2 linked regions of the Arabidopsis thaliana genome follow. The protein of the gene in region 1 interacts with the protein of each later gene in a pairwise test. Each region holds a gene or a part of one and is shown on either strand. Other genes may lie near its edges. The genes, in order: CAT3 and NDPK1.

Region 1 (18,369 bases):
TTTGATTCAGTCTAGAGGTTCAGCTCCCGAGTAATATTAACCAAACTGGATCATAGATTTTCCTGAGTCTATACAAGAATCGATTCACAAGTTGAATATAGGAAAGCATGATATCAGAAGATTCTTTTTATTCTCTCTCAAGTGAAGAAAGATCTAAAGACCTTAGAAAGAGAAGAATACACTCTTTTTGGGCTACTTGCCATGATATCTAAAGATCCATTCTTCTCCCATTTTGGGCAACTTGCTCTACTATCTCTCTTTCTCTCACACTCTTTTTGTTCTAAAGAAAAACTCGAGTTAAGTCATATTAGATTCTTATTAATATTAAATCAGAAACCCAGCTGGTTCAGTTCTTGCAGCATGACAGAACTTAGATGTGTTGTACTTTCTGTGAACTCCTGTGAGCTTCCCTGTTCCTGCCTTGTGATGGAAAGCAACCATCTTTCTCGCACATGCCCTAGAAAAAACACAAAAACCCACTGTCAGGATACCAAAATCTCATGTCATGGGGTTTTCAAAAAAATCAATGTATGTTCTTACAGTAGCTGTTTTTCGTTGTAGCCTGTGTGAAACTCACAGGTTTTGCTCCATTCTTCAAATCCCTTAAGTGTACACTGAGCAGTGTAGATTGCTGAGGCCGCCAGCTTAGATGGAAGATACTCTAGCATCTCATACTCCACAAGGCAAAGCTCGATCATAAAGAATGATAAAATCTCAAGCTGAAACCACAATTGCATATACCACACCGATTTAGATATTAGGCCTGATGGTTTCCGGATATAATGATTCAAGCTTTTTTAGTTAGGGAGATATATACCTTCTTGTCAGATTGGGCAGCTTTGAGAAATCGTTTCATGAAAACATATGGAGTTGGTAGAGAGAAATTGAATTGCAAGGTGTTGGCCATTAGCTTCTCCTGCAATAGAAACCAAAAACAGGTAAATTCAACTATGAAGCATCAACCAGTGGTAGTTAATGATCAAGACAAAGTTGTGTATTCACCATATCTAGCACTTCTCTTCTAGAGTAAGCTTTGTCAGAGATCAAGATGAGATCATCTACCACTGGAACTGAAACTTCTTCATATTTACATGCAAGCAACAAAGCAGTAACACCAACAAGCTGAAGCTTTTTCCTCACGATTTGATGAACCGCAAGGAATCTGTCGATGACATTGATTGTGAGATAAAGAGTTTCCTCCATCAGTTCAAACTTGTAGTGCACCTGGACAAGATAATTTTCCAGTCAATTTATCTTCAGGCACATTGAGACAAAAAAAGTGGCATTAAATAGCTTTTGTCTAGATCTGTCTACCTCAATTAACCAGTCAATGAGGATTCCTCTCATTCTCTCATTAAGATCTTGTTGATTGTCCATATAGTTAGGAGGCACGCAACTAAGTTTCTGCAGAATCATAAGAATGAATCAAACATAAGTACAAGATTTTGAAACTACAATCCTTTCGATGATAAAGAACACAAAAGCAAAAGTTGATGTGAAACAAGACAAATTCACCTCAAAATTCTTGTAGAAGGTATGCATATCATGGATATATTCAACCGCAGCCAAAGGATTATTCTTATCACAGGCATCAATATCGATCACAGGCTCTTCTTCTTTGTCTGCATCTTCCATTTCAATCTCCTTCTCCTTTTGAAAGACACAAACAATATGAGTAACTATATTAACACTTCCATAAACAAAGCAAAGAATGGTTAGGAAATATGTATACCATCTGTTCAATCTCCTCCAGCATTGCTTCAGTATGTTGTACAAACATTGGCTCATTAGAGTCACCTCCTTCTTTATCACTTTCATCCACATCAATGATAATCGTCTCTGGTTCTTCACTTGAAACTGAGTCTGGTTTCTTAGTTTCCTAAGAGTTAAAGATCAGAACTTTAAAATCCGGTCTATATCATCATTGCTCTAAATGAAACATACATTGAACAATAGGGTACCTCATCACGGATATGTGGCTTATGATCTGCTAACTGAGCAGCAAACTTCCTGAACCAACAGAGAGTAGTAAAAGTTAAGTAATCAGACAATGTGAGATACTCAAAGTAGACAAGAGTAAAGATCTATGCTTACCTAGTAACTGGTCGATGCACAGGTGGTTTATTACAAATGCCATCTCTTCTGCAAAGTCACAGAAAGAAATAGGGTTCCTATAAGAGTCTAATCAAAGGGAGAAGAAAAAAAAAACACTAATCTTGAATCTGAGGATTAAAGTGAACTTACTCAGAAACTGATCTCTTGTTGACAGCATAAGGGTAAGACGGCGCTTCAGTGATGTTCTTGTTAATAGTACTTAGTGCTCTTCTTGTCGGTCCTGTTGTTGCCGTCGTCTTGATCTTTCCTACTACTCCTCCCCCTACATCAAGTAAATTCAAAATCAATTTGGGGGAAAAATCAAAGAGAACGAAAGTTTTGATTTTTAATAACAAAATCGATCGATTTAGGGTACCTTGGAGACTCATTGATCCGATTAATCCAAGGCTATTTTCATCTGATCTAACCATTTTCTTCTTCTTCGTTATCTGCGGAAGTTATTTATTTTCATTAAATCTCTTCTCTTGAAGAAATCAAATTTCAAAATCGAAACATCCCCCAACTTAAAAGCAGGGGTTTTCAAAATTGAAACTAAAAAAACAGTCTTGACAATCAAAACCCTATAGATCCGGTTTAATAATCTCAATGAAAGACCCAATCAAGAACAACAAAGACCTAAATCTCAAATACCCAGAAGATAACGAAAACCCACGAATTGGTTTTTCAAAAAAATCACCTTTTCACAGTCAATTCAAAGAACCAACGCGAGATTAAGTCGACCCTTGATCATAAATTCTTATGAAACCCAGTGAATCTCCTAAACCCTAATAGTCTTTTATCCCGTTGGATCCAAGTTGATCAAACAAAGGAGAGAAAGAGAGATCTTTTAGTAAAACCCAAAGATTCAACCACGCTCTCTTTCTCTCTAATGGCTTCGGTTTTGAAGATACTTCCCACTCTCTCTCTATCTCTCTTTATAAGGGTAAAGAAAAAAAGAAAAAAAAAAGAGTAAGATTGATTTTGAAGATTAGAAGAGCGTCTATAGTGTATTAGTTTTCTTTAAAATTAACGGCTAGTTCATCTCAGCCGTTGGATCAACGCCACGTGTTCCAGATCGAAAGTTGTCTTCTATTCAACGGTTATAATTGTATATCATCTATGTATAGATTTATTCAAATTCTTTGATTTTTTTTTCTTTTATTCTATTTTGGGGAAGACAACTATTTTTATTTTATTTTTGAAAATTACACCATGAAATAATATTCATTTCTATAAAAACAAATAAAACACTTCTATTTAAAAGAATCAAATATGTCTCCTTTGACCAAAGACCAAGATTCGTTTATATTAATCTCAAGTTAAATGATTTTCTTTTTCAAGCAAGAAATCTCACACAAAGTTTAGATTTTCTTCAAGTGTATCATTAGAATATTATACTACAAGGGCAAAGAAAAAAAGAAAAAATAAAGAATAATAGAGATTTTGAAGACTAGAAGAGCGGATATATTGTCTGTATAATATCTTTAAAATTAACAGCTAGTTGCCTAGTTCATATCAGCTGTTGGATTAATGCCACGTGTTCCAAATCGAAAGTTGCCTTATGTTCAACGGCTATCATTGTTTTTCATCCATGTGTATGTGTACTTATTCAAATTCTTTGGGTTTTTTTTGTTTTCAATAACAAATATCTCGGTAATATTTATTAGGTTAACATGATAACAAAATATTTATATCAATAAATTTATAATTATGTCATGCTAAGTCATTTTGAATCGCAATAAGTTATAACTTATGTGATATATTTATATTTACCGTCTTAACTCATTTATTATATCATATAAAAAAATTAACGAGTTACTATAACGTGCAAAATATGAATTTCATCCAATAAGATTATTATTGTCACTACCTCTAGATAAAGTATTAGTTAACTCGGTAATTTGATTGTTAACCAATTTGAACTGAATCTGAACAAAAACTATCATTGTCGTAATCTTCACAGGTACAGTGGTATGGCAATAAGAATAGTTATATAATATAGAGGTATTATTGTATTTGCCACAAAAATAGTGTAAGATAAACAGTAGAAAAAAATGGACTTAATTTTCGATTCTTCCGAGTAAGAATGATAATACCCTTCCCTTTTTTATTTTGGGAAAGACAACTATTTTTATTTTATTTTCGAAAATTACACTATATAATATACATTTCTATAATAACAAATAAAATACTATTATTTAAAAAATCAAATACATCACCTTTGACCAAAAACCAAGACTCGTTTAAGAAATCAAATACATTTATATTAATCTCAAGTTAAATGATTTTCTTTTTCGAGTAAGAAATCTCACACAAAGTTTAGACCTTCTTCAAGTGTATCATTAGAATATCGTACTATATTTTTATGGGAAAAAGATATATAGAGTTGTTTACATGATAATGGCATTGATATACTGCATTTACTATCAATCACTTTTAAATCAATCAAGTCATTTGTGTAGAAGTGTGAACATTGCGTTTCTATGTAGAAACACAACAATAGCATTTTGTTTCCATTGATATAGATACATTAAATAAATATGATATGCCATTAGGTTAAGTTTGAGATCATTCTATAAGTTCTTGTTTCAGATTTTTGTTATTGGCATTTAAATTGACATGTATATCTTTTAGGTTGCATAAGTTCTCAGTCTCTTGTAATTAATATCCGTTTAATGAATACAACTGTTTTTTTTTCCATTACAGGTTGGCCCAAAACTTACCCACCAGACTAGAGCCCATTAGTATCTTAGATAATAGATATATTAGGCTTGGTGGGCCTGTGGCACAAAAATGTATTGGACTTGTAAAAATTGATAAACTATGTATAAGGTCAATAGTTTTAAATTTCTAATAAGGGTACCATTCTAATAATAACCAAACAATGTTTAAAAGGATTTGCATTATTAGATGATTAGTAATTTATTTGATATTTTGAAAATCTATAAGAAAAGAAACAACACAAAACCTTAAACCCACAGTATAATGTACATTAAAATCTAATGAAAATGAGTAATCCTACAAGTGAAATTTTATTTTCTTGAAAATATAACTACGAAATTTGTTAATTTAAATCATAATTAGTATCATGAGATTCACAATTTGGTAAATTATATACTAACATCATTATGAATAACCAAAAAGGATTGAATGAACTTAAAGCTAGTTAGGTCCCCATCTGAGAAGAAAACGAGGTACCAAAAGATTCGACTGCCAGAAAGCTTTGTCCTTCTCTTTGATTTTTCAACTCCATTGACAAAATTCGAAATCCAAAAAGAAAGAAAGAAAGGATAAGGTGTAATCCCGTTTTTGTCGTGTTGAACCACCAAAACGAATTTTCATTGGTTGGGTTAACACCAAAAAGTTACTAAGCAAGGGTAAGATTTCTACGTGGCAGCCTGTAAGTGGTTCTCAGTTGCCCTCGTTTATGATATGATAATTTAGTAGTATAGCCCGTGAAGTAATTTGCCTAAACATTATCGTCAACGTTCATTATCTATATTTACTTTTTACTTTTGAAATGTAAAAATAAAAATTTACGTTGTTTTAATTGACTCACAATTTTACCACGATAAAATCTTAGAGCGTTACGTGTTATATTATGTACTGTATATAAAAACTATGTATATATGTATGATATAGTATTGGTAACCCTCTATTTATTTAGTTTGGACACCTCAAGAAAATATTGGGTGTGAAGTAGTTGATATCCTATGTCAGTATTAATTAAGCAGTAGTTTCTCGCATGGAGCTATGCTGTTTTTTTTTTTTAGCAGCTAATACTAGTCCTATAAGAAATAGCAGCTAATACTAGTCGTATAAGAAATACCGTATACGTAACTGAGTAAATAAATTACGGATCATATGGTATATGCACGCACGCATATAGTAACAAAATGAAACATACACATTCAACAAAAAAAAAAAACGAAAAAACACTACACCAATCTATTTATTATGCATAAGACTGACAACTAAACAATTTTACTATCATATTTTTCTATCTTAAACTGGTTGTTTTTATAATCTCCGGGTGGTTCTATAGTTAAGGTACTTAATCAAAATCCCAATACGTTATGTTCACAGTTAAATATAGAATTTTGGTCGTTAAATACCAAGTATATTCGAATTCTACGGCTGAAAAAACTCTTAAGTTCTTCGCTACAAAACAATTGACAATCCCGCATGCAGTCATATGCACCATGACGAAACTTGCGAGTTGCGAGAATATTATCACACAACTCTACAAATTTAATTATATGCATAGTACAATTTAGCTAAGCTACGTACTACTTTCCCAAAGCTTCTGGCATTTTTTGACTTTTGTCGTCACTAAACGAAGAGACTTGACCGTGGTAAGACGATTTCAACAACTTTATCTGATAAGGGGACTATGATATTTTGTGTCAAAAAAAAACGGGGGCTATGATATTTTTTACATAGCTACAATTTCTTTTTCTTTTTTTGGGGTGAATCTAGATATCAGGCTTGGGTTCATTATTACTTCAGGTTTAGGATTAATATTGGATAGCATATATATCCTCTAATTTGTAATTAACTCAACATTTGATAACACGAAGATATATTCTGTGATTTGAAATTATCTATCATCAAAAATGGAGCCAATAACTTTGAAACAACACGTTTTACCAGTGATAGTAACACCACATTTGGTTATGTCATATGTGCTCCACGTGATGTGGTCCATGTGGATACAAAATAACACACACACAAAAAACTGCATTTGAGTTATTTTAGTCATTGCACTTAATATATATGCGGCATACTGGAGAGGATTAAAAGTCCTAATAACTCTAAATGTCTAAATTATAAACAAGTAAATTTATAACTACGAGAGTATCTCCCTACTCCACTTTTATCTCTTATAGCTTATTGGATTGTTGTTTTCGTAACAGAGCTACTACAATGTTTATGGAGGGGGGCAACTGCGCAATATGTCCTTTAAAGAAATATATAAAAGAATGCGAAATGAATTCTGTTAAACGGAGATAGATGAAGATTGTCTTCTAATGATTGCCACTTTCTGAGAATAGTATGTTACTGTTGATTGTTGTACCTAGCTCTAGTTGTAAATAATAATATCAAACTAAGTAACAAGAGCAACTTGTTGACACTAAAGGGACCCCAAGTTACCCTCAATCAAAAATTGTGGATCAGTTCATCATCGAAGTAACGTGTTAATTATCGTCATATGCTCCACAACATCGACTCCCCACCATACCCACTCAATAATGTCAATTCAGCTCTCTCTTTTTGTATTTTTATAAAGAATGTATTTAAATTTTCAACCCATAATTTATAGATTCATGATCATCTATTAATAATTCATTAAATACTTTTCTGCATATTGATTTATTTAAAAGCCGTACGCAAGCTCAAATCGGATAAGACTAAAATAATATCACCCAGTTAAGTTAACTAACTTATTTTATTTTGAATAGTAGTATTAATTACTTTTGTTCAACTACTCCAATACTGTTTATATCCTTTCGACGGTATTAGTTATTTTCATGTTTCACGCATTTTTGTAATTGCAAATACAGACACCTTTGTTGTAACACATGTTGATTAATTTTCCGAAACTATATACTTTTGAAGACAAAAATTTAAAACAAAGAAACCTCAGATCTACAGTTCCACCTCGTGTCTGACACGAGTTTCTATGCGATAAGATCGAACATGTATATCAGCAGACTTTACTATAGATGAACTCATATTAGTAATAAGATCCAAATACGGAAATAAACAACTTGGAAAGTGAATGGAAGTTTTAAGAGAAAAATCATTTCTAGAATTATTTTTTAGATCATTTCTTTTTTTGGAGCATCCATTAGAGTTTTGTTTTTAGACTTTATGATTTATTTTTCTTTTGTTATCAGCACAATAATTGATTTTCAAAAGATATTGTATCTTTTTTTTATCTCTTGAGAAGCACAGCACAACAACGAGCAATGCTGACTTGTCGGGGTCAGCGATTATTATTAGTCACCGAACGAATTTTTCTTGGGTTGGAGCCAAAACCTAGCAAAAAAATATCTAAGTGGGGGCACTACATTATTGTTTTAACACCAAGGAAAAGTAAACAACAATGGCCCATTTTTACTGTATCGAGAAATTGATCTCGAAAGGACAAATGTACCCTTCCACTTCGGGAATCCATTATTGTGCATAACACACGCTGTTTCACTATATATACTTTCACATAGGATCTCAACACTCTCACTAAACCAAAATCCTCAAAAGCCTATTTGGGGGATCATCAACCTTCTATCATCACCATGGATCCTTACAAGGTATCTTCGATCATATTCTTCTTACTTTTTCTTTGTTTTTGTGTGGTGTATGTGTATCTTAATTAGAATTAGGTTCAACTATATATGCTCGTTTTCTAAACTATTTTTTAATTGGATTGATGTTCTTAAATCTTAAGGGTCAAAATACTTTTTATGCTCAAAAACTTACTTAAATTCTGTGATCGCTTGAACCTAAGTTGATGATGTTGATTTCTGTTTTGGCTGGCTATCTTTAATTAAAACGTTTAACCACTGCGTGAGAAAGACACGCCACATGTGGTTTTTGTTGTTTTTTTCCTTAGATTAGAAGTTATTTTGTTGTTGTTTTTTTTTTTATTATTATTACACACATGTGTTCTAAAAATCGGACGTTCAAATGATATAATCGATTGTTTAGACGTCCGACCGTATATTATTTTAGTGATATCAGCCAAATCAGATTAAGTAATCATCAACAAAATGATTGATCAGATCTACTAAACACCTGAGTAATCAAATCTACACGTTTGATTAATCAAATTAAATAACCGATCAGTTAGATCTATACATATGATAAATCTTTTTTTACAACATTCGGTTAATCAAACCATTGTCGGTCGATCTATCAATACAAGTGTATTTTTTTTTCACATACAAAAAAATTATCTCACCGACGAAAAAAAAATAAAAAATTATTATGTAGATCCATCGAACAAAAGGCTTGAATATACGGAAGTCACTTAAAAGTGTAATAATCGAATAAATATTAGTGGATAAAATGAAATTTATCTACAACCCTACTCTCCGACATGTTACTGTTTGCGTCATCAAATCTAAAGCCTTTTTGGCAAATAATGGTCGGAAGACTACTCGTGTCGGGATGGACCACCCGGATCCGATCAGGAAACGGGTTTTGATATGTTTCGGGTTACGACAAAAAATTAGGGCTTTTTATCAAATCAATCAGTTGGTAGTAAAATTTTGTGGATTGTTCTTGTCGATTCCGTTTGATTGTTGACCAAATTTCTTCCTGGATTTTGTTGATAATCGATCGTATAATGGTGATTGCAGTATCGTCCTTCAAGCGCGTACAACGCCCCATTCTACACCACAAACGGTGGTGCTCCAGTCTCCAACAACATCTCTTCCCTCACCATCGGAGAAAGAGGTATCGTAACCCTGAATTTCAAGAGTCTATCAATAAGAATCGGAACTTGTTGGATTTATGAAAGAGATAAAACTGAGATATAGAGTCTAAGCTGAGATCTTGTTCGTGAAGCGTGATGTGATTATTTTTAACATGTGTTACTTCGTAATGGGCAGGTCCGGTTCTTCTTGAGGATTATCATTTGATCGAGAAGGTTGCTAATTTCACCAGAGAGAGGATCCCTGAGAGAGTGGTTCATGCTAGAGGAATCAGTGCTAAGGGTTTCTTTGAAGTCACCCATGACATTTCAAACCTCACTTGTGCTGATTTTCTCAGAGCCCCTGGTGTTCAAACTCCGGTTATTGTCCGTTTCTCCACCGTTGTCCACGAACGTGCCAGTCCTGAAACCATGAGGGATATTCGTGGTTTTGCTGTCAAGTTTTACACCAGAGAGGTATAAGAAAAGATTCAAAGTTTCCATTTTTAATCGTCTTTTAGCTTCTTTAGAATCAGGACTGATTTTTGTCTTGTTACTGTTATGATCAGGGAAACTTTGATCTTGTTGGGAACAACACTCCGGTGTTCTTCATCCGTGATGGGATTCAGTTCCCGGATGTTGTCCACGCGTTGAAACCTAACCCGAAAACAAACATCCAAGAGTACTGGAGGATTCTGGACTACATGTCCCACTTGCCTGAGAGTTTGCTCACATGGTGCTGGATGTTTGATGATGTTGGTATTCCACAAGATTACAGGCACATGGAGGGTTTCGGTGTCCACACCTACACTCTTATTGCCAAATCTGGAAAAGTTCTCTTTGTGAAGTTCCACTGGAAACCAACTTGTGGGATCAAGAATCTGACTGATGAAGAGGCCAAGGTTGTTGGAGGAGCCAATCACAGCCACGCCACTAAGGATCTCCACGATGCCATTGCATCTGGCAACTACCCCGAGTGGAAACTTTTCATCCAGACCATGGATCCTGCAGATGAGGATAAGTTTGACTTTGACCCACTTGATGTGACCAAGATCTGGCCTGAGGATATTTTGCCTCTGCAACCGGTTGGTCGCTTGGTTCTGAACAGGACCATTGACAATTTCTTCAATGAAACTGAGCAGCTTGCGTTCAACCCGGGTCTTGTGGTTCCTGGAATCTACTACTCAGACGACAAGCTGCTCCAGTGTAGGATCTTTGCTTATGGTGACACTCAGAGACATCGCCTTGGACCGAATTATTTGCAGCTTCCAGTCAATGCTCCCAAATGTGCTCACCACAACAATCACCATGAAGGTTTTATGAACTTCATGCACAGAGATGAGGAGGTACGTCTTAGTACACCACTTGAGCTACCATTGTTAGTCTTTTTACTTGGAATCAAAATTCTCATTTGGTTTGTACTTTTTACAGATCAATTACTACCCCTCAAAGTTTGATCCTGTCCGCTGCGCTGAGAAAGTTCCCACCCCTACAAACTCCTACACTGGAATTCGAACAAAGGTCCGATTCCTGCCATGCCTTCTCTAAATCTTCAAATCCTAAACTCAAGTTTATTAGAATATTGGTGCTAAGAAAACCTTTTAATTGCTAATGTTGCAGTGCGTCATCAAGAAAGAGAACAACTTCAAACAGGCTGGAGACAGGTACAGATCATGGGCACCAGACAGGCAAGACAGGTTTGTTAAGAGATGGGTGGAGATTCTATCGGAGCCACGTCTCACCCACGAGATCCGCGGCATCTGGATCTCTTACTGGTCTCAGGTCAGAACAAAAAAACACTCGGTCAAATTTCTACGTCCTTTTTACCAAGTTTCAGCAAACTAAAACATTATTTATCTCTCTGTATCTCTCAGGCTGATCGATCCTTGGGACAGAAACTTGCAAGCCGTCTGAACGTGAGGCCAAGCATCTAGAGGCCAATCTCCATATAAGCTCAGTCTATGTGAGGTACAATCAATCTCATCGATCTATCATCGCTTGGTCGTTAAATCCGTCAAAAAGATAATCACATGTGTTGTTGTTTCTTGTCTATATAATAATAATGCTTGTAATCCCAAAAACTCATGTTTCCTTCCTTTCTACTCTCACTGTCTTTGTAATCTCTTTTTACAATAAATCAATGTTTCTTGAAGCAGTAAACAATTTCTAAGATTTATGGTGGTCGTTATACATATTATTAATTCAGGAAAAAAAAGAGAAGATACCGTAATTGAACATGTATTATTTTAAGGAGAATCCTGAAATGGATCAACAATTGTCTAATTATGGTATAGTATCTGGCGAAATCAAAGACGATATCATCCACACGTAATTAGTTTGACTATTAATACGAGGATTATCATTTGGATAAGGATTAACAAAGACAAAACACATACGTGTTTTGGTGTTGAGCTAAAATAAGATATTTTGGCTCTCGCTATAAAAAAAAAATCGACAACAGTGCAGACACACGCCGATTTGCGAGATACACACAGTCTCACCTAAAAATCGCAAAAGAAGAAAAATTCGGATCAAAATTGTCTTCAAGCATCATGGATCCATACAGGGTACATCGATTGATTCTCTTTTTTTGTAATCTGTGATTTTACCTTACTTGATTTCGTATCGATTTGGTGTGATTTCGTGTTGAATCCAAAGTGTATGAATGATCTCTCTCTCTCGGTTAAAATGATGCAAAATTGGGGTGATTGTTCGACTTGTTGAGGTTTTTTTGTGTGAATCGATTTCTTTATTATATAGTGGAGATTGGGTTTCGATTTGCATGCGTTGAAGATTCCACTGGAAAATTCAACATGTTTTTCCGTCTATTGATTGTTTATTTGTCAACATGCTCATGCTCATGCTCATGTTCTAATACACAAGTCTTAAGGCTGACGTGATCTGTCAATATCGTTGTACATGTTTTAAGGTTTCTTTACGATTTTTTTAAAGTTATTTTAATCACTGTGTTCAATTGTGAATATCATTGTTGCTTGTATCGTATTTTTTTAATTGATCATATATACTTATGTGGAATTGTTATGTATCAAGTATCAATGTATCATTATTTGTCATAGACGTTTCTCCAATCTATGGAAATTTGGTTAATTTTTTTGTGATCCAGTTCTTCTGAATTTATTTGTTGGTGTGCAGGTTCGTCCTTCAAGCGCTCATGATTCCCCTTTCTTCACTACAAACTCGGGTGCTCCTGTCTGGAACAACAACTCTTCTTTGACTGTCGGAACTCGAGGTCCGTTTCTCTTTCTTATCTCTTGAATACAAATTATAACAAATATGTTGAACCAGTGGTTGTTAGAAATGCCCTTAAAGCTAGAGTAGTGGAAGCCAAATAATTTTATAAACGTTTGGATAATAATGTCATTAGTGTTTTTGTTGTGGACTTGCGTAAATCACATTTCTTCCTTCAGTTTTATGCCAAATCTGATATAATTCCTCAATGTTGATTCTGTCTCAGTTGCTTGGATTTTTAGATATGTTAAGCGATGGTTTTATATATTGTCAGGTCCAATCCTTCTGGAGGACTATCATCTGCTTGAGAAACTCGCTAACTTTGACAGGGAGCGGATTCCTGAGAGGGTTGTTCATGCCAGGGGAGCCAGTGCTAAGGGTTTCTTTGAAGTCACTCATGACATTACCCAACTTACTTCTGCTGATTTTCTTCGAGGACCTGGTGTTCAGACTCCTGTTATCGTTCGTTTCTCAACTGTCATCCATGAGCGTGGCAGTCCCGAGACTCTCAGAGATCCCCGTGGTTTTGCTGTTAAGTTTTACACCAGAGAGGTTAGCTTTTTGTCTTATCCTTCCATTGTCTCTCTATTTTCTATAACCGATATCGATGTGTTTGCTGATATTCAAACGTTTATTTGCTTATCTATTTCGTTTCACCACCTATATGATTACTTGCAAATCATATCATACTATACTGATGATTCCTCTTACCCTCTGTTTGCAAACTCAGGGGAACTTTGATCTTGTTGGGAACAACTTCCCTGTATTCTTCGTCCGTGATGGAATGAAATTCCCTGACATGGTCCATGCATTGAAACCGAATCCCAAGTCTCACATTCAGGAGAACTGGAGGATACTGGACTTCTTCTCCCACCACCCAGAGAGTTTGCACATGTTTTCATTTCTCTTTGATGATCTCGGTATCCCACAGGACTACAGGCACATGGAAGGCGCTGGGGTCAACACTTACATGCTAATCAACAAAGCTGGAAAAGCTCACTATGTGAAATTCCACTGGAAGCCGACTTGTGGGATCAAATGCCTGTCGGATGAGGAAGCTATCAGAGTTGGAGGAGCCAATCACAGCCATGCCACCAAAGATCTCTATGACTCGATCGCAGCCGGGAACTATCCGCAGTGGAATCTCTTCGTTCAGGTGATGGATCCTGCCCATGAAGACAAATTTGACTTCGATCCGCTTGATGTCACAAAGATCTGGCCTGAAGATATCTTGCCTTTACAACCTGTTGGTCGCTTGGTCTTGAACAAAAACATCGACAACTTCTTTAATGAGAACGAACAGATTGCATTCTGTCCTGCTCTTGTGGTTCCAGGCATCCACTATTCAGATGATAAGCTACTCCAGACCCGGATCTTCTCCTACGCTGATAGTCAGAGACACCGTCTTGGACCAAACTATCTGCAACTACCTGTTAATGCCCCTAAATGTGCTCACCACAACAATCACCATGATGGTTTTATGAACTTCATGCACAGGGATGAGGAGGTAATCTTATCTCTCGGCTCTAGAAACTCCCAGATACTTAAATTCGCAATCACATTTATATGAAGTGAATTTGTTGCTTTCCAATTCCAGGTCAATTACTTCCCTTCAAGGTTGGATCCAGTTCGCCATGCCGAAAAATACCCTACAACTCCTATTGTCTGCTCTGGAAATCGTGAGAAGGTCAGAGTCCTCTACATACATTAATTTTTGATCACAAGTTTTATCCTCATAAGTCATAGTTAAAACTCAAATGTCATCTTTATATCACAGTGCTTCATCGGGAAGGAGAACAACTTCAAGCAACCAGGGGAGAGATACCGGTCCTGGGATTCAGACAGGTAAACACTAAAAACTCAAAAACCACATTGCAAAATCAACAATTACACATGAACCACAAATGTCATAATTCATTCTAATGGTCTTTTGTTTTGTACCAATAGGCAAGAACGATTCGTGAAGCGTTTTGTTGAAGCGCTTTCGGAGCCTCGTGTCACGCACGAAATCCGCAGCATTTGGATCTCTTACTGGTCTCAGGCAGACAAATCTCTGGGACAGAAACTAGCAACTCGTCTTAACGTGAGGCCAAACTTCTGAATGATATCATCTCTAAAGACTAAGTGAAATCCTATAAACTCAATATGCTCCTCTTACGGTTTGGTTTCTAAGTAATCTCGTTTATTGACAATGAAACGCTTAAAGAAGGGTACTAGTTCCTGTTTGTAATCTTCTTTTCAAAATATTAACGATTATTTTCTAAGGCAAATAAATAAAAAGCTATGACTAATATAGCTTAGTAAACAAGTATCACTATCATCCATTTGGTTCTACTTTAAAAATGGATTTTTATTTGTATTTTAATCTTCTGCATCTATGACGTGAGCTTATAGTTGGAATTTTATTGGGGTCTAATGTCAGACGCACGATCTTGATAAAAAAGTTTTATGTCTGTCCATATTTTGATAAATTGGCATAGTCATCACTCATCACGTCAGACCTTTTAATTGGTCAATCGTTATGATGCTACATCGCATTCATAATTTATAATTTACATGTAAGTGGGGGTGGAGTATTTGATTATTCCGCTGCTAGTGGAAATGCAAAAAGAATAATGAGAGCAGACCAATTTTAATTATGCTTATACTTTGTTGCGCTTAACTTTTAATCAGCTAATACAGTCTGATTAATCTGATGTCTCTCAGCCAGTAGTTTCTTTTCTTAAAGAGAACCTCAGCGCAAATCAGAAATTAGACACATGGAGCCACATCAAACTTAATCACCAATAATATCCTTTTCTCATGTATTTTTCAGTCTCATATTTTTTTTTACAACTTGTTAAGTGGTAGTGTGCGAAGATTTTAGATCGAAGTTACGCATCTTAAGAGATTATTTATCCAATGAAATGGTATAGTGAACTGTGTTTGCTAATGGTCCAGGATTTTATACATTTAAAATTCATAACTTTGCAGTTTAACGAAAAACAATAACAAATTTAACGTGTTTTGGTTGTCGTTAACAAGATCTCGGATCCATTTAGGAAAAGTCAATATCTTGATGACGAAATCAAGAAGACTTTACTTTGATTGCATGTGACGGAACTTAAGCACTATACTAAACGATAAAATGTAATTATGTAAATATCTAAGTTTTGAGGTGTATAATGCAAGAGTATAATTTCGTGGACCTACGTCTAGGTCTACCAACAAATGTACTCAACATAAATAATATCGTCTCCGTACCCCAAAAATAAGGTATATAGGTTTTATACCTAACCAAGACGTGCAAAAATTATCACAATTATTTGACGTGGAAGTTAATGATTCGGCCAACCTTATACTAATTTTGTTTTGCAATTAAGGACTCATTTTTTGTGTATTATATTAAGGGATCTCTATTATCAATGTCCAACTATTAATCATTTTTTATACGTTTCAAAGCCCTATGAAAAGAGATTCTATTTGCCCGGATCATAATTTAAAATTGTGTAATCAGAATCTTCTTTTGTATTTGCAAAGTTTAAAAATTCATTGGTTACTCAAAAAAGTTTGTTTTCCTTGCAGTTCTATTGGTTTCTTTCTGATTATTGGAGTGTTTTTAGTTATATTTTATTTGTTTGTGAAACTGATTATTGGCTGTTTAGGCAATAAACTATATACAATTAAAGTAGTGCAAGATTCCAATTTACCCGTTGGGACTTAAATCTCAAACAAAAGTAATGAAAGAATTCATGTGGATGTGACCATGATTTGTGTTCGGCGGATGTGATCAATTATTTAAGCTCAAGTATCATGGTATCTAGTTTATATAAGTGGATAAGATATATGAACACAATTATTTGTAATCCACAGTTAATTTTGTATATATTGTTTGTTTTTCTATTATCCTATGAAGTTCAACAAACAAATCACACTCCACTATACATGACGGGATCAGTAATTAGTTCAACGCCTTTATACCATATGTTAAATATTGATGTGATTTATACACATTTCAACATGGGGTTGCTAAACTTGAACATAAGATCTTATGTTTTAAATTTCAGATGTCTAAGCGTTTATCTAAGCCATCCAAAATCACCCTAACTTCGATTTTATTCAAATAAGCCACTAAATTTAGTTAGAGTCAAAAATCTAAAATCTAAATTCTAACCGGACACTTCGTACATACAAACCTGATCGAAGATTAGAAGTTATATAAAGAGGTCTCTTCCACAGAGAAACAAAAAAAACGAAAGATAGTTAATTTTGTGATCGTCTTTTTGTCCAGAGTTCTTCACAATGAAGGAAAATATTACGTATGGGAGGAGTGTTGCATTTTGTTTCATCAAAATATATAAAACTCCCAACAGCCCATATGAGTGACCTAACGAAAACTTTTTAATGCTGACTAATATATATCATCATCTTCAATTCATTCTCAAATAAATATCTTTTTATTTTATTTAGAAAGCACTATATAATTCAGTCAATTAGAGAACCAAGTTGACCATATTTAAAACTAAAAGATGATATTTAGATCTTAACTACGTGTCATATATGATGAATTCTGAATATTTTTCTAATTTGAATATTAGACGAAAAAGTTGGTCATTAGCTTTATCCTTGGTAAAATGTTAAATTTTGTTAAGTAATTTTTCACTGATTAAATAAATATTTCAAATAAAATAAATAACTCTTTACAAAAAAAACTCTAGCATTTCGGTAGTCCACTAATTATACAATTATATAAAAATCCATGTTTAAGTTTTGACCTATATAAAAATAAAAATAAAAATCCATGTTTAAGTTTGGACCTATATAAATAAAAAGTAAAAATCCATTTTGAAGATCAAAATCCAACTTCTTTTATAGTAGGACCGGAATAAAACAATGTACAGTGTGACACACTTACTACTGGCAAAAAAAAGGGATAAATGAATGTGATTGAAAATGTGAAGTCATGAGTAAATATTATGTGGAGTGTACCTAATTAGAGAATACGTTAGACAAAACCTAAGTGGAGGAAACGCAGTCATGCACCACTTGTTTCGTCTTTTTAGCTTTGCGCTTCCTGTGAACGTAGATTGAAACACTTGCGAGTATAAACATATTCCTTGTTACGTATAATTAAATTTGTATGAATAAACTTAATTTACGTTCTGTTCTCTGTTATGTTACGTTTCGTTTCGTTTCCGTTACGTACAAAAAAAAATATTTTCATATGAGATACTAGACTAGAACACTAGAGTACTTATTCATGTTATATATATCCCATCCGCCAAAAGCTATTTTGTCCTACAACTAACGTGATCCAAACTAATAATCATGAAACCCTACCGAATACGAATTATGTAAATTTTTATAAAATCATCCTCTCACTCACTCGTAAATGTGGATTTCACATTTGTTCGTCCAATCTAACTCCCCTCCTGAAAACTATCATACCCCTTTTTTAAAGCATCATTCAGTTTGTCTTTTCTCCCTTCTCAGTTTGTTGTACCATATTATAACCAGACCATGAATAATCTCTTATATAACTTGACTTGATCACAACCAAATCTTTTCTTAAATTTGATTTTTTTTTACAAGTCCTTTTCTCTTTTTTTGAGCATTTGAATGTTTTTGGA
Region 2 (15,870 bases), on another chromosome or scaffold:
GCATAGGATATGAAACACTTCAATAATTTCCCATTTCCTCTACCATAGCTGCAATTATTGTTTTAGGCATAGGATATGAAACTTTGTGTGTGAGAAGAGCATACCGTTGATTTGGTTTGATAATTCCTTTCTTTAATCTCGTGGTCATAGTATGAGTGGATTCTGTAGCTGAATGAAGAATGCTGGAGGTTGGTTGTTCATGCCTAGAGGATGATGAGAGAGCGTTGTTGCCAATAGGATCAAGATCGGAGCTTTCCGTACACTCAGAACACTCCTCATTTCCCGTAGACAGAGTTTCAATTTCTTCAGTATTATTTTGAGAAGGAATGATTCGCAATGGTGTAACACAGACCGGTTCACTTGGTATGTCTTGATTGTTGTTATGAGGTGTTGTCTCCCCCTCTGTAATTATAATAGTAGGACTGCACTCTAATGAAAGGTTCTGTTCTTGATTTTTTGTGATGACAGGGACATTTGTACCAGTATTAGAGCCATCGGTTTCTTCCTTTTCCAATGGAACTGAAGAGCTTGAGAAGCCTTTTAACCAAGCATCAAACATCGGAGTTGGGGAAGAATGTTGCAGGCCAGTGTAAGTATCAATGAAAGGAAAAGAGCCTTCATCAAACACGACATGGCGACTTAGATACACTCGTCTAGTTGGAGGATAGAAGCAGCGGTAACCCTTATACTTATTCGTGTAACCGAGAAAGATACACTTGAGAGACCTCAGATCAAATTTATTGCGAGCATAAGCACGAAATGTAAGGAAGCAGGCACATCCAAACGTTCTCAAAGCTGAATAATCTGGTGCTTTGCCAAACAAAACTTGATAAGGTGTGGCAGAGCTGTCAAGAGCTGTTGTGGGAAGGAGATTACTCAGGAAATTGGCAGTAAAGAACGCTTCAACCCTAAATCTCTATGGTGCTTTGCTTTGAAACATTAGTGTAAGACCCCTTTCTGTAAGTTGACAATGCTTTCTTTCTGCCAAACCATTTTGTTGTGGTGTGTGAGGACATGAGATGTAATGTTGTATACCATATTCTTGAAGATGTTTTAAGAACCGATTACTTGTAAATTCTCCTCCTCCATCACTCTGAAAAGTTCCAATTTTTGTTTGCAAAAGATTTTCAACAAGACTCTGAAACTTGATGAAGATTGAACAAAAATCTGATTTTTGCTTCAATGGATAGAACCAACAGAATCTTGAGAAATTGTCAATGAAGATTACATAATACTGAAATCCTTGAATAGATGAAAGAGGTGCTGGACCCCAGAGATCACAATGAACTCTCTCTAGAGGTCTTGAAGCAATAAAATCTGAAGAAGTAAATGGCAATCTCGAACTCTTCCCAAGCCGACATGATTCACACACCTTGCTGGTACTTTTATTGATTTGGATCGTCTTTTTGTTAGCTAAGAGCTGAAGTACTTGAGGATTCGGATGGCCTAATCGCATATGCCAGACTTCATCAGTTGCCTTGACTTGTCTGGTGGAATAGAACGTCTGAAACTTTGGGTTCTCCAACTTATAAAGTCCCTCATTTGTACTGCTTCCCATTGTCAGAACTTTGTGAGTTACCTTGTCCTTTACAAGAACACCATCAGCATCAAAGGTGAAGGAGCAATGATAGTCTTTAGTCAATTTTGACAATAACAACAAGGACTTAGCAATATCAGGGCATACCAATACATCTGTTAAAGGAAGATTACCTGATGCAGAGGGAAGGCTTGCTGAGCCAATGTGAGTGATAGGTAAGAAGTTGTCATCGCTAGCCATTACCGTGTCATTACCAAAATAAGGTTGCATCTGTTGAAGACGAGAGCTGTTGTTGGTGATATGAGTTGTGGCAGCAGAATCAGGAACCCAACCACTGTCATCTGTAACATCGGTGATGTGTAAAGCTGAGAAGGCAGTAGCGGCAGCTTCAGAGTGTTGGTAAGAGTTATCAAAGTTCTTGAGTCGGTAAACAACATCTTCATAGGTCGGACCATGAAACGCATCTAAGGAACCTTCAAGAGAAGTGATTAATGGTTCATACTCACGGGTAAGACCATGAACCATGGCGAAAACCTTCATCTTTTCGGCAATTGGACTTCCCACTGAGGCGAGTTGGTCACAGATGGTCTTGAGATAGCGTAGATACTCCTCCATGGTTTTGCCTTCTTTTGATAAATCGTGAAGACGACGTTGGAGCTCAAAAATCCGAGAGGAAGAGATTTGATTGAAGTGTTTTGCGAGATTCTGTCATACCTCATGAGATGTTTTTGAGCCCACGACAACACTGAGAATGTCTTCAGACAATGAACCAAGCAGCCACACCATAACTACTTGGTCGGAGCGAAACCAAGCTTGATATTCTGGATTTGGAACAGCTTCAGTGACGCCAGTGTCTTGGGGACCAGAGACAGTGCTGATTGGAGGAGCAAAGGCGCCATTGACAAAACCCAGAAGACCTTGTCCGGAGAGGAAGGATTCGAATTGGGATTTCCACAGAATGTAGTTACGGTCTGTGAGTTTCACCGTAAAACAGTTGGGGATGTTTAAAGATGGAAGAGTATAGAGATCCATGGATTGATCCATGGCTCTGATACCATGTAAGTTAAAATATGAAATCGAAAGTCTTTTGTTTATTGCTTCCAACTTAAGCCTTTGTGATTACAAGCTATGTCTATTTATACATCTAGATTGATTTAACCTAGTGTCTTCTTGATTTGCATAGCTGTCACTTGGCTGTTATGTGGCGTCGTTGTCTTCACATGATTCAAGAGCCTTATAGCGATTCCTCGTCGTTACTTCCGTACTGCGTGGAGATAAGGACCGCTCTGCAACTTTTCTGCTTTTGTCCTTTGTTGTTGCAGGTTGCCGTTGCACTATGTTGGGCTTGGCTCTTGGATTGGGCACTTGTTTCAGATTGGGCTTTAATGGTTTTGAGCCCAATTCCAAAACTGTGTCGTTTGGAGCTGTTCTGTTGATATTAGCTTCTCGCTAAACTAAATTGTTGACGTGGTAAGTTGGATGGACATGATTTTAGTTTAGACCAGGGATTAGTCCGGGTGTATATATTGACGATTGATATATATAAATTACTTCAGTCAATTTAAAATTCAGTTTAAACTTGTTGAGTATATATATAGAGATATTAATTTATTTAATAATTTAATTTTTCTAATATTTTCCTCTTTGAATTATTATTGTAACACCCGCCCCACCATATAGGCCAAGACGGCATGTTATTCATCTGATCTTGCCAAAAAGTTTTCTTTAAACTTTATACATGAACAAAATATTGCACATAACTCCTTACGCCTACTAACCTGAGGAAAAAGGGAAGAAAAAAAGGGTGAGTAAAGAATACTCAGTGAGGGGAATCAACTCTGCCCACTGAAACATAGAACACTTTCTAAAGCTATACAACCATCATTATAACATATAAACTTAGACACAAGCAAACAACCTAACATGATTTACTTCTAATAATACATTCATAATAACCATCTTATCAATAATAGCACATATATACATATCCTTAGGTCCAGTCATCCTCGTGACGACTAGAACCTCATGAGTGGAGGCTGGCCCTCGTGGCTCATACACTCCCATGCATCCCGGGCTCGTCAGCCTTTCTTGACCAGCATGTAACCCGTCGGCCCATCACTGTCCACATTACTAGGGAGACCACGGCCTATAGCTCGATTCTCCCCAGTCATACATACATTATACATACATCATACTCAACAATCATCAAATCATATCATCACATAATCTTATCCTATGCAATCAGATCTAAGCCTGCATATCAGGCGTCAAGATGCATAACAAAAGAAAATGATACTATGTTTCGCAAATACCATCCTCACCTTAGCCTAGTGAAGATGAAAACTCCTTTCTTTTCACTTAGACGATCTTTACTAAAACCACATGCTCATAAGCTCTAACTTAGTTCTCCTTCAACCAGGACTTGAATCCATGAGTCATGAAAGCTCCTGCAAAGCTTCAGCTCCAACCGAACTCGTTTCCCAACCAACAACACAAACTCATCACTATTTACTTCAAATAAAACTGTCCTGGAAACATACTCAGAAGTAAGGAACTAACCGTTAGAAACGTGATCCCACCGTTGAAGATGTAGATAGTAGTATCATGAATTACTCCACAAATTTACAGCATGATCGGATTTCATTACAAGCTCCAAACGTCGTCGTCAACAAGCCTTCTCGAACTGTCATTTAAGATTTCCTGGATTCACAGACTTTGCAGTTACTTATCATGAAAGAAACGTGCATAACTTCTTTAATATAATCCCGATTCCATCTCTGTCAGCGGCTATGAATTCTTCACATCGTCTTCTTTCTATAGACACCTTATTCGTTATTTGAGTCCCTCTGGTCTGTCGGGAAATCATCCTGCAAGAAACATTCTTGAAATTGTACTTCCTCTTTCCTCTTTTCTCTTCTTCTTCTTCTTTCTTTTCTTTCTTTCCTCCGACTGATCTCAACACCATCTACAAAATAGACTCATCACTGGTTTTTCATCACCATTGAATGATCTCGTCTCCATCGCCGCTTTATCTCCGACGCAACCAATCTCTTTGTTTTCCTCTAGTGGATCATGATGCTTGCTTTCTCTTTGATGTGGTGACTCTGGTGCAGCGAACACATATGGTGGTTTTGACCGTCTCCTCTATTCCTTTAAGGACCAAAACTACACTATGAAATCTCAGTTTACAAACATCGGCGACAACCTCTAACAACAACGACGTCTTGGCAACCTTGACTATCTAGCCTTTCTCTCTTTTATCTCTCTTTTTTCTCATGGAAAGCGGCTAGGGTTTATTTTTGTACGAGCTTGCTTCGCGATTCAACGGAGAAGAGGATACATACATATATACGTACATATGTGCTCAAAAATCTAAATGAAACCCTTATGTCGTTTAGTTTAAAGAAATAGGCCTTAATGGGCTAGAAGTCACATGATGCAAAATGGCCCAAACACAAGATTTGGGAGCTGGGTGTTACAATTATTTTTGTTAATTTCGGTTAAATTTGGTTAATTTTAGTTATTTTTGAAGAAAAACAAAAAAAACCACAACGAATATGATAATATTTCGGTTAGTTACGGTTTTCATTTATTTAAGTTTTAATTTTTACTCATTGCACATTGCACCTTAAATAAATGACTCATAAAATCTCTACCCATTGAACATGCTCTAAAATGAGTTATTGACCGTCATGTTATCGATACACAGAAGGGCTATGTTGCAGGAGATTTTTCAGATTGTGGTTTGACCTGTATGTATTTGACATGGAGGTTTGTCTTGCAAAAAAAAATTAAATTGAGTTTTTTTTTGCACAAAAGCCTTATATTTTAAAAAAGAGTTATCGAGTGTCATGTCATCGCTACATGGGAAGACTGTATTACGGGTGACTTTTGAGATTGTGAGATTGACTTACATAATTTGGACTTGGATGAAAACTTGCAAACGAAATTGACTTGAAGGGTTGTTTTGTAGAAAACCCTAATACCCTAATGTTAACTAAGATACCGATCTGTTATCGTATAAAAAATGTTTTTAGCATTTATTTATTAAGATTAGGTATGTAGAATCAAAATCAAGTTTATCATGATTAAACAAAGAGTTAATTTGTATTTGCTAATGGAATGTGTAAGATTTGAATTTTGATTTAAATAAAAATACTAAAATAAATATAGAAAAGTGAGCAAAATACTATTTATAATTCAAAAATTATCGATAAGATATATTGTGTAGAATTAAAATGCAGTTTATTGTTATGAAATAAATAGTTAAATTGTATAGAAAAATGGAATGTGTAAGATTAAAATTTGGTTTGAAAAAAATACTAAATTAAATGTTAAGAAAAAAATATATTACTATTTAAAATTCAAATATAATCGATATAATATTATATTTATTTCTTACACCCATTTTTAGGCGGACATTATCTAGTGTATTATAAAATATAAATCATTTACCATTACTAACAGTTAATATTTTATATCTACAATACAATTTTGCAAATTATGTATTTAAAATAATTCGTTCCATTCATGGGGTGGCTTTCTTAATTATTAATGTTTGGTTAAAAGAGAAAAACAACCAGTAATTAAAATATATAGAAATTAATATTGTTGTAAATTTGTTGATTTACTAGATGTATGTTATTCCATACACTAATTTTTGAAAGATAATATTTTAATAATTGTTATTAGTCGTATTGAACGTTTACAAAAGATGTAGAAGAAACCAACCTGTAGCTTGGGTTCAAAACCTAGTTCTATTAATACTAAGGTTTGCTAATCATGTTTAAAGTAAAAATAGATGAATTTTATCAATCCAATCTCTATGAATTTAATATTTTTTTATATAATTTTGTATGTTTCATTGTTTATTATTTCATATTATCATTCTTTTAATTGAAATATGTTATTCTTATCATCATCTGAAAATTGTTTTTATTCACTGGACTTTCCCATATATAACTGCTCCATTGTTTTACATTTTTAGAACCCTAGTTTGTTCTTTCCAGGTCATTTACTATGTGGTTTTTAGATGTGGACAATAATATAGAGGTTATGAAATTATCTGAATCCATACTTTTTGAATATGTGAAACTCGGATAAACATCAAAATATCCGTATCAGAATCAGTAAAATGTTAGTAGAAAATATTTGAAGGTATAAAGAGTTGGGCAAGATGTGTTAGCGGCAATGATTTTGAATGTGATGAGAAGTAATATCTAAGAACAAGTGGTTAGATACACAATTATGTGAATAGCTGATATAGTAGATACAACAAAAAAATGATTGATGAGAAGGAGATAGAGAAAGGGAACTTTGGTCCATTGACCAATGTGTTTGCGATCACTTTTTCAAATTTTGAAGTAATTGACTACATTGTACAATTTATGTGTAATCATGCATATAGTTTCTACATCGATTCATCATACAATCATGAGTTTTCATATATCTAGATCCTAATTACAATCAAATATATGTTTGTGAGAGGTTGTATGTGACTTTGAATAAAACACAACATCCTCCATTATATCTCTTTTGAGGATTTCAGATAATTTTGAGGATTTTTTTAGTTGAAAACACATATATCTAACTAACATGATTTAAGTGGAATTTGGGAAGATTTTCAAACAAATCATTACAACTACTCTAAATTCACTTAAGATCAACAAAATCATAAAAACTCAAATCATTTAAAACAAATGGTTGGATACACTTTGAAACTTGCAACTTATATTTCGATTGGTTGTTTTTTTATAGTCGATTGTTCTTAAAAAAAAACTATATACTTGATACATATATTAATAAATAAAAAAATTAAAACTATAGACTAAATGTTTTGCTGTGAAAGTGTGTTATTTATATCTTCAACATGAGAGAATGCATCATTGGTGGTGTGAGATAAAACCATTGTGTCTTTCTAACCCACATCTAACAAATATTTTATCGAATTGGGCCTTAAAATAATAATAAGTGAAGACTCAATAACACTAAAAATGCAGCGAATATTCTAGCTCTACAATGTTCTTCGGTATAATTAGAGTTAAAAATTTGTGGAGACTATATATAACTCATTTTGCCTCCCATGGGTCATAAGCAAGCAAAAAAAATGGAGCAAACTTTCATCATGTAGAAAACTTGTCTTTCTTTCTTTAATACATATTTGAAGGTCTAAAAGAGTTAGGCAAGATGTGTTAGCGACAGTGTTTTCGAATGTGATGAGAAATAATCTTTAAGAACAAGTGGTTATGTACAAATTTATGCGAATAGATGATAAAGTAGATACAACAAAATGATTGAGTAGCAAGAGATGGAGAAAGAGAACTTTGCTCTATTAAAAAATGTGTTTGAGATCATTTTATCAATTTTTGAAGTAATTGGCTACATCGAATAATTTATGTACTTATATATAGTTTCTATATCAATTCATATACTTGATATATATATTATAAAAAATAAAATCCTTAAAACTACAATTTTTGTTTAGAAAATGTGTTGTGTATATCTTCAACATGAGAGAATGCATCAAAGTGGTGTGATCAAACTCTTTTAATCCAAATCTAACAAATATATTAGGGTTTTGTGCCAACAACCCTCAAAAATATTTTTTTTTGCAACATAACCTTTCATATTAAATACATGTAGGTCAATACTCTGATATCAAAAGTCACCCACAGTATAACCACGTGCATAGATTTTATATAATCTTTGGGCGTGCTTAGATTTTGCAAACCGTATAAGTATGTATATAAGTTATTAAACTACGTCGTTTGAGCATCTTTTCGGAAAATAATACATTACTAGAGTGGATTGGAACCAATAACCTATAATACTAAATAATGCACTTAACCAATTGTGCTGCAAGATTTATTGTTGATATTGCATACCGATAAATATATATTGTGAACATTGCATTCTGGGTTTCTTCATCTTCTTAGGAAATTAGGTTTATTAGCAATCCGAAATCTCTATTCACGTGAACTAGTTTGTTTATCACCACTGATTTCATTATCTTTGGCCATCATCAACAATTTGTAGAGCAAGCAAGGGCTCATTCTCATCGCAATTAATCTATTCTTCATCGAGGAAAGCTCTGAGACGAGGCGTGGGTGGAAGAATTGAGCGTGTTCAGACTTGGGTTTGATCCGATCGTAACCGCTCGCGCTGTTTGTCAAGTTTTATGTTTACAATTCTGAAATAATGTTATTGTTGTATTCGATTCATGTTTAAACTATATATATTAATCGGTTTGTAAAGTTAACAAAATCACTCTGCTCAATTGGTTAAGTAATCTTTGAATAGTTCAATATGCCATGCGTTCAAATCTATTTTCCAACATTATTTTGCGTTTTTGTTTAAAGGCTCAAAACAACGTAGTTTTAATAACCTATATATAAACATACGGTTTGCAAAATCTATACACGTCTAAGAGATATACTATAGGTGACTTTTGAGATCGCAGACCTGCATTTATTTAACTTACATGATTGAGTTACAAAAAAAATTACTTAGAGAATTTTTTGGCACAAAATCCAATTTTTATAACTAATTGAACCTTAAAATAATAATAAGTAAAAGCCGTTTTTTTTGTTAAAAGAAGGCTCAAAACGACGTAATTTTAATAATCATGTACAGATTTATATGATTTGCAAAATCTATACACGTGCAAGAGTTATATTGCGAACGACTTTTAATATCACAGTATTAATCTACGTTTGTTTGACATAAATAATTAAGTTGCAAAAAAATATTATTTGTGTTTTTTTTATGAAGCCCAATATTTTATTTAATTGGGCCTAACATAATAATAAGGGAAGCCCAATAATTTGTAGCAAATATTCTAGGGTTAGAATATTCTTCAACAGAATTAGGGTTACATGTGCGGACTCTATATAAATCTTTTTTGCCTCCTACGAATCACAAGTAATAAGAAAACAATGGAGCAAACTTTTATTATGATCAAGCCTGACGGCGTCCAGAGAGGACTCGTAAGCTTCCCTTTTCTCTTAATACATACTTGTTGATCTTGATCTGATTTTGGTTTTGTATTCAGTTCTTTGGATTGTTTATACTTAAAAGATCGATATGTTTGTGTTTTTTTCTTTCAGATCGGTGAAGTCATCTGCAGGTTTGAGAAGAAGGGTTTCACTTTGAAAGGTAATGATTTCGATTACCAAACTTGATTTTACATTATAATTAGAGGTCTTAGATCTAATTAAAGTCACTTTGTTACTTGAATTGAGATTGTAATGACACTATAGTTGCTTATGGTTTGGTCTAGTTTCTGAACACTAATAGTTTAGTAAAACTTGTTTGACTTGACAAGTATTCTGTGTTGTCTAATAGATTTTAGATTATAGTATCTGTGCATAAGAACTTGTTATTATCTGGACCTTTTGTATTATGTAATTTGGTAGATAAGAGTGTTAGTCTTGTGTTTCTGATCAGTGTAGATTTGTATTTTATACAGGTCTGAAGTTGATCAGTGTAGAGAGATCTTTTGCTGAGAAGCACTACGAAGACTTATCTTCAAAGTCTTTCTTCAGTGGACTCGTTGACTACATTGTATCCGGCCCTGTTGTTGCTATGATCTGGGAAGGAAAGAATGTTGTCTTGACCGGAAGAAAGATCATTGGAGCTACCAACCCAGCAGCTTCTGAGCCTGGAACTATCCGTGGGGACTTTGCTATTGACATTGGCAGGAACGTGATCCATGGTAGTGACTCTGTCGAGAGTGCAAGAAAGGAGATTGCTTTGTGGTTCCCTGATGGACCTGTCAACTGGCAGAGCAGCGTTCACCCTTGGGTCTATGAAACTTGATGATCTGTTGCTTTTTCAGTAGTGTGTTTTCGACATTGCTTGTCTTTTGAACAAGACTTCTATATTTAAGTTGAGTTTGATTATCCTTCTCTACTTTGCTTGCTTGCTACATATGAATACAACAGCTACCAACTGGTGATATAAAATATATCAGTTATTGCAGATACTGAACCAAAATTGACTCTTACCAATGGTTAGATCAAACCTATTTAGTAAACACAAGATCATACTTCTTGTAACCTTGTGTTTCATGAACACATAATGTTGTCAATCTCTTAGATGCTCTCGAAAACTGCGACGTTCGACAAAGTGGCAAGCTTAAGTTGTCTAGTAAGCCATTGTCCAAGTTTGAGGCTGACACCAACTTGAAGGGGGCATACTAGGAGAGAGTGATAAGAAAAGTTTTGAGTATTTGTCTACTGAATTTCAAGCTTACTGATGAACATTGGCAAGCTAAATTTAAATAACTAAATTTTACAATTTTGGTTCTTCAAACTTTAGAGAAGAAAAGAATCCAACGGTCAGGTTCAACTCCAACCCGTCTGTTTCAATCATCTATTTTGACCGCTTATTGTAGCTGCCTGTAACAGTTCAAACCCAGCCACTGTCAACAATCAAAGCCAAGTTTGTTTCCAAAGATGGACACAGCTAAGTAGTCTTTTTTGTCCTCTTCCAATTGTTGGTTCTAAGAAGTCGGTTAAGCGAGAACGCTTCTCCTTGACCATCGTTAAGCGACCGCAGTTCCAGACAGCAAGCTGTTAGTTGTCGGAGAAGTGTCTCTAGATGAGAATGCGATTGATTTTTGCCCTTTGGTTTTGTAGATAAAATCGCAGCATTCACTGTGTCTGCCACTACTTCCCTTTGAGTCTCTTCTAGGAAATACCCTACATTCGATTCTTCGGGGCGTTCGTACACTAGCAAAGCAAAGCAGTCCTGAAATAGATAACAAGATGCTCGAATCTCTTGTCTTTGAAACCACTAAATATTGAAAAAAATTCCAAAACACCACCACTAGTTTAAGGTTGCAGAACCATCATTACCTCTAAAATGTCTTGGAATGTAGTTAAACCAATGAATTTGGCTAATTCCATTCGTCCATATTTCACAGCCTCTTCTAGTGCTCCAATCTAAGTATGTCACATTTTAGTATTTATTTACTTAGAGAGAGGTCAGTCTAACCGCAGTGGATCTGATTAATATATAAGGAATGAAGAGCATACCCGTACTAATTCAATGAACTTTTGACAGTGAAGGAGGAAGCATACTTCTGATTTATCGTTCTGCAGATTATACAATTGAGGTAAGAGTTCATATTTTCAATGTAACAATATGAATCAACTGATATGATTAGTTCCTCAATCCACCTGTACAAGTTGGGGATAGCTATCTCGGAGTTTCGCAAGAGCAGCATCGATCTCACCCTTCCGTATAAGCTTTACCAACCGACGTATGGATCAGTTCAATACTTAACGAAAGAGATGTAGTAGTAGTAACGAGCAAGATAGCAGTCTAATTCAATACCTGTCTAAGAATTTTTCTCTCATGCAATGCATATGATGTATCATCAATACCATTTTCTTGAGCTCCATTGATAGGAGGAAGTGTACTGTTAGTAGCCAAGTCTAAAGCATGATGAGTCTCTTCATACCCATAATGAAGCAAATAGTTCTTTACAAGCCTGATGATCAAAAAAAACCAGAAGCTTCTTAGCTACGCAGAAATTTTATTACCAATGCAATAAAAGAATAGAAGAAAAAACTTCACCTCAGTAACTACAGAACAAGAGTGTACTCACCCAAGACTCATGTTCGATGGTATGGATATCTTTTCGATTGCTATTTGTTGCTTATTCCTCTCCGATGATTCATATCCCTAACACAACAGAAAAAAAGAGGAACAGCTAAATCATACGTAATCACTCCTGTAACCTTAACCTCAAACAAACCTAAGGCAGAAAGAGAAGCACAAGTAAACACATATTACTCTCTACCTCAACTTTCTACACATATTACACATACAATTCTTAATCGTAGAGTCTAAGAGAAGATGTTTAATCACTGTATTTTTTTACAGTGAATCATCTGCCACATTATATGTTTGTACCATATCAAAAAGATGCATATGTTTCTTTACTATACGATAGTTATACTTCGGACTATCCCATCGATAAATTACACAAGCTAAGAGCTAGAAACTCCACTAGTATACCAAAAATATTCAAGGATCTTACCTTAAAATCAAAGGCAAACTTCTCCTGCCCGAAGTTGACTGTAACCCTACCAAGATTCAGAACATCAAACAAAGAACATATTCAAGCACTTGAAAAATAGTTCACGCTGACATCATATTAAGAAACAAAGAGAGCATACTCTTCGTTTTGGCTATGTACAGCTACAGTAGGGAATAGAGGACCCTTGATGTACTTGGAGACTGTCCCTACCAGAGTTCCATTTACACTGGCATCTCATAACAAAGATATGTCAGAACTGTAACATGAAAATGAATTGACTCTTGAACTCTTAGATACTCACGTGAAAAAGAATTCCTGCGAATCATAGTTTATACCACCACCAACAGTATCACCAGTTGTATAAGTCGGACCAAAAGCTTCACCTTGACGTTTTCCTAGATATATAAGCCCATCTTCACCATGATAACCACAAGTGTTGAGTTCCCATCTAACCATTACATAAGAAATATCACAAAACTATCAATTTGAATGCTCAGCAACAATGATATAGAAACAAAATCCAACACTTTCGTATGTTCTGATCCTAACCAAACATAAATAAAACTCACACAATTGAACCAAATCCTGAACCTAATCAAACTTAAAACAACTAAACAAAAATAAGAGATCTTTAAGAACCTAATCAAATCTAAACAAAACTCAATATCATACCCAGGATGTCTCGCGATTCTGAAACTATTAGTAGTGAAACCAATGGAGACACGTCCTTTAACACCAGCATCTTTAACATAAATCTCGAAGTAATAAGCGAAACGTTTACACGGAGCAGGTTTATTAGCTTGAACAACGCCGACATCGTGACCGTGTTGAGAAACGCCAGTGTATTTGAGAGATAGCTTATCGGGAGAGATAACTACAAAACCGCTTAAACCGGTGATCGTGTTTAACTCCGTCGGTGATTCTTCTTCTTCTTCGTTATCTTCCATTGTATGTGGTTTTGCAGAGTGATGAAATTTGTGAATGAAGTTGGATTTGTTCATTCAAATCGCAGAGAAGATAATTGAAACCCTAGAATTTTGCTGATTGGTGATTGATTATAGAGAAACAAAATTGTTGAGCGAATATTTTTTATTTTTTTCAAATGATCTCTTACAAAACCATGTGATTTCGGTTCGGTTTTTATTTGAATTATTCGGTTTTTAAAAATTTGGTTTCTTAGTACTGGTATCCAAATTATGGATGGTTTAGTATGGTTTTATTTTGGTTCGGTATTGAATGTTTATCTACAATATCCTTAATTTTTAAAGAAATTTCGGTTTTAAACCATTTTTCTTTGTTTGATTTGATTTTGGATCGACTTTTCAAATCAAGTATCTCGATTCATTTACGGTCGGTTTATTGGCAACAACTTAACATTAAAAAAAGCTAAGAGTTCAAATGGTTACGCGGTTAGGACGGACAAATCTATCAACGGTTTAGACTGCTTTTTGTTTAGGAAAATTGCACAATCTATACTTGGAAGAGTTGTTATTTAAGTGTCCAAAAAAATCACTGTTTGACTAATATTGTACATGTGGAAATTGCGTATGTACCCCTAGGAAAATCTTTTTATACTGTATGAATATATTGTGTCAGATTATTATTATTCTTTGCATGTAGTCTTTTTTCTTTTTTGCTATTTATTTATTGATTTTTAGGGAAACCAGTCGTCATCGTCATTTCTCTTTCTAAATGGAAAGTTGTATCCCTTCTTTCCCTTATTAAAACACAGTCCAAAAGATAAAAGTTAATGTAACATTTGTATTAGGTGCTAACTCTAATTCATAACAAAAGTGAAACTATCTCAAATCACCATAAACTTATGATATTAGCCGGTAATCCAAGTATTAACATACCAGTTTGTATTAGGTGGTAACTTTGATGCAAAACTTATGAATTCAAATTTTTAATACCTCTAAGGGTATTATCACTATATGTAAACAGGTATTAGCCGTTAACAAAATGTTAACGTAACAGTTGTATTAGGTGCTAACTCTAATTCATAACAAAAGTGAAACTATCTGTAATCACAAGGAACTTATGATATTAGCCGATAACCCAAGTATTAACATATCAGTTTGTATAAGGTAGTAACTCTGATGCAAAACTTATGAGGGTATTATCACTATATGTAAACAAATATTAGCCGTTAACAAAAAGTTAACGTAACATTTATATTAGGTGCTAACTCTAATTCATAACAAAAGTGAAACCATCTGTTCAAACCCTCCTAGTCCAAAAACAGTCTCATCCTTCCATCTTGAACCGTCAAAAAAACTTTTCCTCGTCGCTTACTTACCGCCCTGCAACACATTAATTTTTTGATTAGCAGTCATTTTCCTTTTTTATCAGATAACATTTACTTTATCGACTCTACTTTCTTCATACACCATCAACAAATGTAATATGTAAACATTTTTTTACCCTGCTAATTCGTATATTATCATGATATTTTCAAAATTATCGATAATCCAAAGTTATCAGCGACATCTTCTTTCCTGTTTTCAAAACCATGGTAAAAGTTTTGTTATCGACTGTTTTTTTCAAAAAAATGATAAGGAGCTATATATATATATATATATATATATATAGGTACACACCTAAGACTTAAATGCTTTGTGTCTCTTTCTTATAGGTACAATATATCTCGCGGAAGAAGGCTACTGATTCTTTGTTTGTATAGGGGCAATTATGTCATATTTAATTTACAAGAAAATTTCCACCTAAATAACTAAATGATATGTGTAGATCCTTAATTATATATTCTTCCATGTATAGATATTTCATTCACCCTTTTGTTTATCATTCATAAACTATAATCCGCAGTAGTGCGAATTAAAAAAAAAAAAAGTTTGCGGTGTACTAACTACAGATAACTTTTACGTAGAATTTTTTTTATCCGCATGCGATTTATCGTCCGCTCTAAAAATAAAGTGGTTTTGTCTGTTAGCGATTTAGTGTGCTTTTTTCATTGCATCCATTGAAACCAAAATAGAATACAATAGACTAAGGCCTTGAATGTTTTGTAGATTTTGTAAGAGTTTTTAGATTTTGTTTTTCAAAAACTTATTTTTATACCAATCAAGATTATAAAATTTTGGTTTCCCTACAATTTAGAAAAACTATTTTGTTGTAGTTTTTGATTCATGATTTTAATTTTATAGTTTTCCTAAAACTTAGGGAATCTAGTTTTTACTCCATCAACGTTATTTTTCTCAAAAACTAAAAACCAATTTTTTGGGGTTTTTAAAACAAAAATATAATAACAAAAATCTAAAACTAAAAT

Evidence for each region.
Region 2: the proteins of CAT3 (region 1) and NDPK1 interact in a two-hybrid assay, tested with the Arabidopsis thaliana proteins (one study listed by BioGRID).

Annotation. Positions count from the first base shown.
Region 1 is NC_003070.9:7,134,749-7,153,117, forward strand, and holds CAT3 (catalase 3), read left to right. Parts: upstream 1-8,384; 5' UTR 8,385-8,393; coding exon of another isoform or gene 8,394-8,408; 5' UTR 8,409-9,165; coding exon 9,166-9,357; exon of another isoform or gene 9,358-9,458; coding exon 9,459-9,555; exon of another isoform or gene 9,556-9,710; coding exon 9,711-9,988; intron 9,989-10,080; coding exon 10,081-10,857; coding exon of another isoform or gene 10,858-10,942; coding exon 10,943-11,032; coding exon of another isoform or gene 11,033-11,059; exon of another isoform or gene 11,060-11,131; coding exon 11,132-11,293; intron 11,294-11,385; coding exon 11,386-11,445; 3' UTR 11,446-11,792; downstream 11,793-18,369. Other genes in the region: CYCB2;3 (Cyclin B2;3), read right to left, coding at 325-457, 541-719, 818-916, 1,003-1,224, 1,315-1,404, 1,516-1,650, 1,733-1,879, 1,962-2,010 and 3 more; CAT1 (catalase 1), read left to right, coding at 12,064-12,078, 12,665-12,761, 13,035-13,312, 13,491-14,267, 14,358-14,447, 14,538-14,605, 14,708-14,861. UniProt on the Arabidopsis thaliana protein: Occurs in almost all aerobically respiring organisms and serves to protect cells from the toxic effects of hydrogen peroxide.
Region 2 is NC_003075.7:5,914,013-5,929,882, forward strand, and holds NDPK1 (nucleoside diphosphate kinase), read left to right. Parts: upstream 1-9,471; coding exon 9,472-9,522; intron 9,523-9,642; coding exon 9,643-9,691; intron 9,692-10,004; coding exon 10,005-10,354; downstream 10,355-15,870. Other genes in the region: AT4G09340 (SPla/RYanodine receptor (SPRY) domain-containing protein), read right to left, coding at 11,003-11,287, 11,395-11,481, 11,575-11,634, 11,719-11,787, 11,876-12,032, 12,150-12,226, 12,585-12,630, 12,724-12,810 and 2 more. UniProt on the Arabidopsis thaliana protein: Major role in the synthesis of nucleoside triphosphates other than ATP. The ATP gamma phosphate is transferred to the NDP beta phosphate via a ping-pong mechanism, using a phosphorylated active-site intermediate.